Nothobranchius furzeri: one gene and its partner. The protein of the gene in region 1 interacts with the protein of each later gene in a pairwise test. Links are inferred from orthologs where the notes say so. Each region holds a gene or a part of one and is shown on either strand. Other genes may lie near its edges.

What was found.
Region 2: the proteins of cct3 (region 1) and znrd2 interact in binary tests that used the Homo sapiens proteins (3 or more experiments, as listed by UniProt). The two-hybrid records come from large-scale screens. The link is inferred for Nothobranchius furzeri from reciprocal best matches to the Homo sapiens genes CCT3 and ZNRD2.

The regions. Positions count from the first base shown.
Region 1 is NC_091759.1:9,430,848-9,434,851, forward strand, and holds the start of cct3 (T-complex protein 1 subunit gamma), read right to left. Parts: upstream 2,845-4,004; 5' UTR 2,742-2,844; coding exon 2,714-2,741; intron 1,449-2,713; coding exon 1,387-1,448; intron 1,105-1,386; coding exon 1,054-1,104; intron 960-1,053; coding exon 897-959; intron 812-896; coding exon 715-811; intron 612-714; coding exon 494-611; intron 328-493; coding exon 141-327; intron 29-140; coding exon 1-28. Other genes in the region: pdia8 (protein disulfide-isomerase A3), read right to left, coding at 3,709-3,798, 3,884-3,941. UniProt on the Homo sapiens protein: Component of the chaperonin-containing T-complex (TRiC), a molecular chaperone complex that assists the folding of actin, tubulin and other proteins upon ATP hydrolysis.
Region 2 is NC_091750.1:56,222,038-56,226,111, forward strand, and holds znrd2 (protein ZNRD2), read right to left. Parts: upstream 2,844-4,074; 5' UTR 2,765-2,843; coding exon 2,749-2,764; intron 2,415-2,748; coding exon 2,263-2,414; intron 1,722-2,262; coding exon 1,637-1,721; intron 1,495-1,636; coding exon 1,055-1,494; 3' UTR 766-1,054; coding exon of another isoform or gene 753-765; 3' UTR 380-752; downstream 1-379. Other genes in the region: leucine repeat adapter protein 25-like, read right to left, coding at 1-129, 753-765. UniProt on the Homo sapiens protein: Might play a role in mitosis. Antigenic molecule. Could be a centromere-associated protein. May induce anti-centromere antibodies.

The DNA.
Region 1 (4,004 bases):
AGGAATCCTCGATGATTCCACCTGGAACCTGAACACAACACGGGAGATGTGAGACAAAAGAATGAATGCAATTAATGCAGGAAACACTTGATCTTCTGTTCTAACCTAAAGTGATCAGGTGTAATGAGCAACAGTCGTACCTTCTCTACTTTGGCGTACTTCTTGATGTCAATCTCTTTGCGCCCGTTCTCTTCCAGCTCCACCGTACGAACGGCGTCCAGCGCGATGTTGCAGGCCAGCTCCGACCAGCGGCTCAGAGCTTTGGTGTTGATGGCAGAGTGAACAATCTTCAGCATCATGGAGCGGTCTGAAGTGTCCACGGGGATGCTGGAGGAGGACAACAATATTCAGTCAAACTTCCTGTACAAGTTTCACAAAATTAACTCATTCATAAATGTGTAATGTTATTTCTAAGCTGCTGTTTGGTTGGCTTACAACAAATCAAAAATAATTATAATGTAACAAGGAGGCGATGGAAACTGTCAGACTCTACCTGATTTCCTTCAGTGTGTCCAACATGTCCTCCAGAGCCTGTCTGTAAGCACTGATGATCACTGTTGGATGCATCTGCTGCTCCAGAAACTGTTCAGCTACAGCCAACATCTCTCCAGCTGAAATTTGAGACATTAAATGACGGATGTTAAATAAAACAAACTGAATTCCCTCTAAAGGGGAAGTCTGAGCTTCTTTAGATTAAAAATAAAGCTTTTATACCCAGTATGATGACTGATGTGGTCCCATCTCCCACCTCTTCATCCTGTGTGCGACTGATCTCGATCATCGACTTGGCTGCGGGATGCTGTACCTGAATCTGTTGCCATGGAGAAGCAGGATGTTATGAAACACTGAAGGAATTGATGAAGTGACAAACTTCCAAGTGTTTATGTGACCCTGACCTCTCGGAGGATGGCATTTCCATCGTTTGTCATTACGATTCCTCCTGTAGGGTCAAGCAACATCTAGACAAAATGACATGAAAACATGGAATATTACGGACTTATTTTATTTTTGTAAATGACTGGGTGCGGTGATTCTCTGTATAGACAAACTCACCTTCATCATGGCCCGTGGGCCGAGGCAGGTCCTGATCACATCGGCTATGGTCTAAAATAGATTGCACAAGAACAATATATGTAAGGGCTGGGGGAATAAAACAATTTTAAAACAAATGAAGCATTTTTCTCTTCAGAGACTGATCTCAGTCTATTAAGAGGAATTTCTACTCTAGTCTGGCCTTTTCTTTCCCAGCTACTCAACGTCTCCATATTAAAAACAAAAAAACAGCCTAGATTGGCTAATCTCAAACATTAAACAGTTTTCTTCCGCACTCAAAAGACAGATGAGACTGTCTAACACAAGCTTTAACGTTTTACAGCAACAACTGACCTTTGCTGCATTGATGTTTCCAGTTTGGACTTTACGTCCTGATTCTCTCTTCACATTCTGGTCTAAAAAGAGACAAGAAAACAGAGAAATCACTACAGAGTCACCTAATTGAAGGGTGTTTTTGCTTCAAAACACAGATAGCCATTATTTCGAGTGACCCAATTAAATGACTAGCAATTCGAAATTGTTGGTTTTAAAGAAGTAATTTATCAGTATGGTTAGCAATCCCATGCCTGCCAGATCGATAACAAACCAACACATTACATTAAAAAAAATCAATAAAAACAGCTGTGTATAAATATGTGACAGATCATTTTTGACAAATGTCCAACACTGTTAAAATGCTTCAAAATTAATGAATATGATTTACCAGTCACGTAGGCCAAAGTGCATCTATGACTAGAATCCTTTGTAGTAAATTATTCTCCTTACTAACTGAGTTGTTGCATCTTTATTTAAAATCAATTTTGTTGGATTGTATCATTAAACTAGTAATATCTATACAGCTAAATAAAACATTTTCTTATTGCATTCCAAATAAAATGAGTGTTTCGAATATTTAAATAATTTTTTTGTTGTCGTAATTTTTTTATTATGTTATACTCTTCTTTTTAGCTCCTATAATGAATTTAATTGCTGCTGTGACACCAAAATCCCCCCACTGAGGGAGCTATCTATTCTAGTCTAAAATAATTGTAAAGACAAAATGGACGGAATATACCAGTACAGATAGAGCTTTCGTGATTTCAGACACTATGAATGAATGAATTTTGATTTTTGCAGGATAACAATGCTGTCAATTCGCAATTACAGGCTATCAAATAGATCAATCGAAATCGGAATGTATTAAAGCGGATGCTTATTTTGTTGTTCAGTTCAGTCACAGCGCACACACAAAACTAATTCAAAATCGTGTTTAATAGCTGCATCAAAGGTAATTTCATGTCTTTTTTAATTATTATATAATGTTCGCAGTTGTCTAACTGCACGCTCATGATGAGTAAGAGGACTGTTAGCTTAAGCTAGCCTAGCCTAGCATACCTACACGCTTTCCGCTACTTCCGAACACGAGCTAAATATGCTAATGATGCCGGTTGGGTGTGGATGCTATCAGTAGCATGTAGGCTAACAATGCTAATACCGGTGGAAGAAGCTGATGCTCGGCTGAGTTATAACAGTTGGTTAGCGCATCCTTAGCTGCTTTGTGTCCCAGCCGATCTGCCCCGCGTTCAAACGGTCACAAAATTGACTAAATTGCAGAAACTGGCGGGAAGTAACCGACATCTAACTATTGAAAGTATAGTTAAGAACAAATTTCGATACTTACTAAGCACTAAAACCTGCTGGCCGAGCATTTTGAGACCACGACGCTAACAGCACTAGCCTCGAAGGTTCTGGGTGGCACGAGGAGAGGGACGGCTCAGACAAAATGGGCAAGACATTACTTGAGGTCCGGCCAATTAGCAAAGACTATTATTTTTGATTGACATGCGCATTCACCAATAGAGTGAATGAGGTAAACTCTTCTAGTAATAGGCCTTTTATGGAGAAAACCTAATAGAAATAGAACCCACAACGATTTAGCAAAAAAAAAAAAAAATTTTTTTTACGAAGATTGAAAATGACTTTTATGTGTTTTAACACTCGTGGAACTTGCAAAGTTTGTTCAGTTGATCCCAGCTATTATTATTAAGCTTTATTACAACACACAGGCATGGAAATAATGGTTGAGCAAACTCAGGCACACTGAAGTATAATTTAAAAATTAAATTTCTTTTTAAATCCCATCATAAAAACAACGGCTGAAAACAATTTTACAAAAGCTATTAAGGCGTATTAATTCATGAGAATTTAATTAACAGTCAGTTGTCAAGCATGGTTTTATTACATAATCTCAGCAGAGCTTCTCAACATAACAAAGCTCACAAAATAACCAAAGACTGCCAAAGTATAAGTAATTAAGTCAATAAATAAATAAATAAATAAAAACTAAACACAGCACCAAATACAAACTGCACAGATGGTATTATATCAAAATGCATTTAGTTTTCTGGAATAAAAAAACAAAGAATTGCACATGAAATGGCTTTATAAATGAATAAATATATAAATAGTTCTATTCAGCAAGGACATGGTTTTAGAGGGGAGTATGGAAAGAATCTGATTGGTAGAAACAAAAATGGGTGGACCATGTCCTGATTCGTTGTTTCTGGTGTGTCACCAGGAGCAGAGCTCTTGCTGCCCATTCATGTCTGTGTAGCTGTTACAAGACTTGATCTTTTTGTTAATCAAAGTCAGTTCTGATCAGTAGGTGAATCTTTGTCACAGTTCGTCCTTAAACCCAGTCAGCACCAGACCATGACTCGCCTCACTCTTCAGGAACTTTAGGAAGTCTTTGAGCTCTCGAGTGCCCTGAAATCAAGATGTCCCACAACCATTAGACATCATGTGTCTCAAAGATTGATGAACTCAAGCTGAAACTATTAAAACTTGGTACCTGGTATCGAATGGGCTCATCCTTTTTACCCACTGGAGCAAAATAGATGGTTGGAAACCTGGAGAGAAGAATAAAATCATAGGAAATAAAGACTCATGAATTTTCTTCTTTAAAAGTGCTC
Region 2 (4,074 bases), on another chromosome or scaffold:
GAGCGTCCTCACCTGGTAATAAATAAATGCTGCTCTTTGTGCAGATGGGGGCATTCACCGGTGGTCCCCTAATGAGACACAATGCATTAATGTCTGCCTTCAAAACCTTCCTGATGCAGCTAATTAATCCTTATGTCAGATTAATGAAGACACTAGCCAGTTACTTAGGTGGTTTCTGAACAAAGCCTGATGGTTTAAAACGCAACAGTAATATATTTTCTGGACTGGATATAGCCGATTTGATCACTACATTTATTTATTTTTTTTCTACTAGATTTGCTCAATTTGATCAGTTCACACGTTTTTTATCTTGTTTCTGTTTAAATTAGGACATGTCATGTAGTCCAAACACAAAATGGCAGTGAAATAATTCAACAGCTTCATCACAAACACTTTATATAAGAAAAACTGTCAGTTTCCAAAAGGCTTCAGATTAGCGAGTTAAAACGAAGGATTTACATGAAAGTTGCACATTTGAGAATAAACTTTTTATTTAACCACCTATGTGCTAGCATGTAAACCGGCGCCCTCTGGTGGACAAAATGATCATCTACAGAGCAGAACTGAATTTATTCTAAGTCACATAATTAGAAAACGGATCACTAATTTTTTCAAATATTAAGTCCTAATAATGTACAGCGGGAAAGGTGTGTATGTTCTAGATTAAATATGAAAATGAAGATTCTGAGTCTCAATTTAAAATTTGAACTACAAAATGTCCTCACAGACACACTATGTTATTTACATCAAACCTTTTTTACTCATCAAACGATCAAAGACAACTAAAGAAAGTCGATCTGCTTTGACAACTGATGAATGTTTGTACTCATAATTTACAGTTTGACAAAAGCAACATACTTCTACCATCGGCACACCTACACTTTTTCAAGAGGAACTTGAGCACATTTGAATTGTGATCCAATTTCCATTTAATTTGAGCTTTAAGCAAAGAATTAGGCAGAGAGATAAAGCCGACCCAAAGTTTGTACCCTACAGCAGCCAGAACAAGAAAAGATATTCCCGTCACTCCGTAGAGTCAACCAGTCTCCTGTGGTTACTGGCTGAGCTCCTTGAGGCTGCGCAGTGAGCTGGCGCAGCTGGTGATGAGGCTGCAGAGCTGGATGCTTGCCTCAAGTGAGGATGAACTCTGTAACTGGGTAGTGGCCCAGCGAAGTTTAGTAAGAACTGCTTCCTCGGCTTCCTGCAGCACAGGTCGTAGAGCGGCGCTCTGCGGACTGACAGGGGTACGAATGGGAGCTACGCTTGGGCTGGAGACAGGAGCTGAAGGAGATGGGGCGGGAGGTGGAGGCAGGAGGGCTCTTCCTCCAGCAGCAGCGCCCTCACAGTGCTCTGGTCGGGGTTGAGGAACCGTCACCCCTGCCTGACTGCTGCTGCAGGGTGTCTCGTTGAGTTGAGAGGCTTGGGTCGGTGGAGGGGACTGAGCTGCAAGCTGCTGCTCTCTCACCTGAGACAATGCAGCCTGAGCATTCAGAGCTGGAAAACGGAACAAAGAGGTGGGACTGAAATATGAACTGGAGAGATTAAATCCTAAAGACACCACAGAGGAACCAGCTGCCCTTTTTTAGGGCCTAATGAGCTCCAAAATCAGGGGAGAGCAGACACAACTGGCGCTCACCAGGGTTATCTTTGTCGATATCAGAGTCCAGCTCCTGACACGAGACACAGTAGTTCTTCTGCTGCTTGTCCTGTAGAAGAATAGTCTGAAAACACACACACGAATACACACAATCACTTATATAGCCATAATTATGTTTTATAATATTTGTTACTACTTCAACTTCAGGACAAACTACCAGAGGCCCAAAAAGAACAAAAAAACACCACTTGAAGTCAGTCAACAAAAGATGTTTGGACCTAGAAAACAGTGACCGGTGTTTAGCGCCATCTCTTTTCCTCTGGCAATGCAGGTTCCTGTTTCCGGCCAAGGACAATCGCTGATGGGAGGGGTGAGCGTTCCTTGACAGTGTTTGAGTTTAAGCTTAGCTTGTTTTGAAGATTTGCTTTTACCTTTTTTAGTGTGTCATTACAACAAAATGATAACCGCAGTTCTCTTAAGGTAATTTGAATAAGTCAGTAAGTAAACATTTTGCAAAAATACTTTCATAAAACAAAAGATAAATTCCTTATTAATGCTTAGGCTCTGTCCTCAGCAGGGAGGCCACAGAGAGGTGCAAGATTGCTGTCAGGGTGGCACTGGCCCACCCTGGACCCACCCCAGAACCGCCTCGGGCCTGAACTCACCCCGCAAGCATCGCAGCACTCCCCCAGCATCTTGTAGCCTTTTAGAAGGTAGTCTCCCATCAGCTTGCTGATTTTATCTTGCCGTTCCCTTCGAGCTTGGATCACCTTCATCTCCGCCTCACATGGAGGTTCCCACTCAAAGTCCTCTTCATCTGCAGGTCAGCAACAACGGAGTAAATTAACTGAATCGCACCAGTGCAAAGCTACACAACCAGAAACACAGCTTTAATATTTACGCGTGGTGATTTATTTTCTCGTTGTTTGGCTGAATTTTTATCAAAAGGGGTCAGGAAATGACAAGTTAGCCAGAAATACAACGCTGTTATCGTGGAGATAACACTTTCCCCGGTGGCGATGAAAAATATTACAATAAAAATAAAAATACCGCAGAAATCACCGCTTAAATGAGTGCCAAACGACGTAAGACACTAAAACACACAGTGAAACGGCAAAGTTAGCAAGGAAATAACAGTTAAGTTCACATACCTCCATTCAAAGCCATGTTGCTTCAGTGCTACACGTTCTGCGTGATGACATCAGGCGCTGTCGTCGACTTCCTCTTCGTTCATCAAACTGAAACCATGCAGCGGGTTAGAGCGCCCCCATGTGGGGGTGATGCGCATAGACATGTAGACACCCGGCGCTGGAGAGCGTCACTGTGTCGCCGCCATATTGGATGGGTCTCCTTACTGTCCAAAGTCAATGCAGAGTGGACAAATTTGCCCGTTTTTTCCAGCCTACCATAGCTATGTGTATATAAACCATCGACATATACATGATATAAACACTAGTTGGTGAAAGCGAGAGTTGAGGGCGTAGCTAAACGGCGGCCATCTTACCCCAGACAACAGACCTCTGCTCTCAATGGTAGCAGCTGGAAGGTGAGCGATCAGCTTGATGTAAAACAATCTTTACTCGATTAAATATTAACACATTTACAAGCGATTTGCCTTGATACAAACCTTAGAACACATAGGCTTGAGATAACATACTTGCAAATGTTAAAATAAACGGTTTTGCTTTTGAAAGTGACTTAATTGTGAACCATGTGCCCCACCTATAGGCTATTTGCGTGTTATTCAGGTTGAGACCACAATAAGTAATTTATTTGGTTTTACAAAACCAATAACGATTTTACGACAGCCAATTATTTTTTGTCCAAATGGCTGTGTTTGGGGATTTATTTTTTTATTTTTTTGTATTGGCACTGGAGCCTATCTCCAGCAGTCAACGGGCATACAGGAGGGGTACACCCTGGACAGGTAGCCAGCAATATATATATATATATATATATATATATATATATATATATATATATATATATATACATACATAATTTAGCCTTAATCTATTCCTGTTCTGTGAAATAGGTTTTGTTTAGAGATGTTTCAAGATTATTTTGAGGTAAGCCCACATAAACAGAACACATATGCAAAATGTGCACCCCAAAAAATAAGACAACCAACATCCAAATTACATCGGTCAGCTAGAATGGGCCGCCAGCAATAAAATGTAACCCAGCTAATTATTTTGTATTTTCACTATTTCTCGACCTATTTATTGACTTTCTTTTATTCTGTCATGAATCGTGTGTTTGTCATGTGTTTATATACATATCTATGATTGCAACAACTGGCGTACTATTGAAAACAGATCACATGGGATTACTATGGACCTTTCTAGCCTACCTGATGGAATTTTATATCTTAATTTATTTCATCTACTTTTAATTATTATACCATACCATGTGTCTGATTTCGTGAAAAAAGCTTGATAAAATGTGATTTCAAGTTGGATAAGCACCTTCCTCAG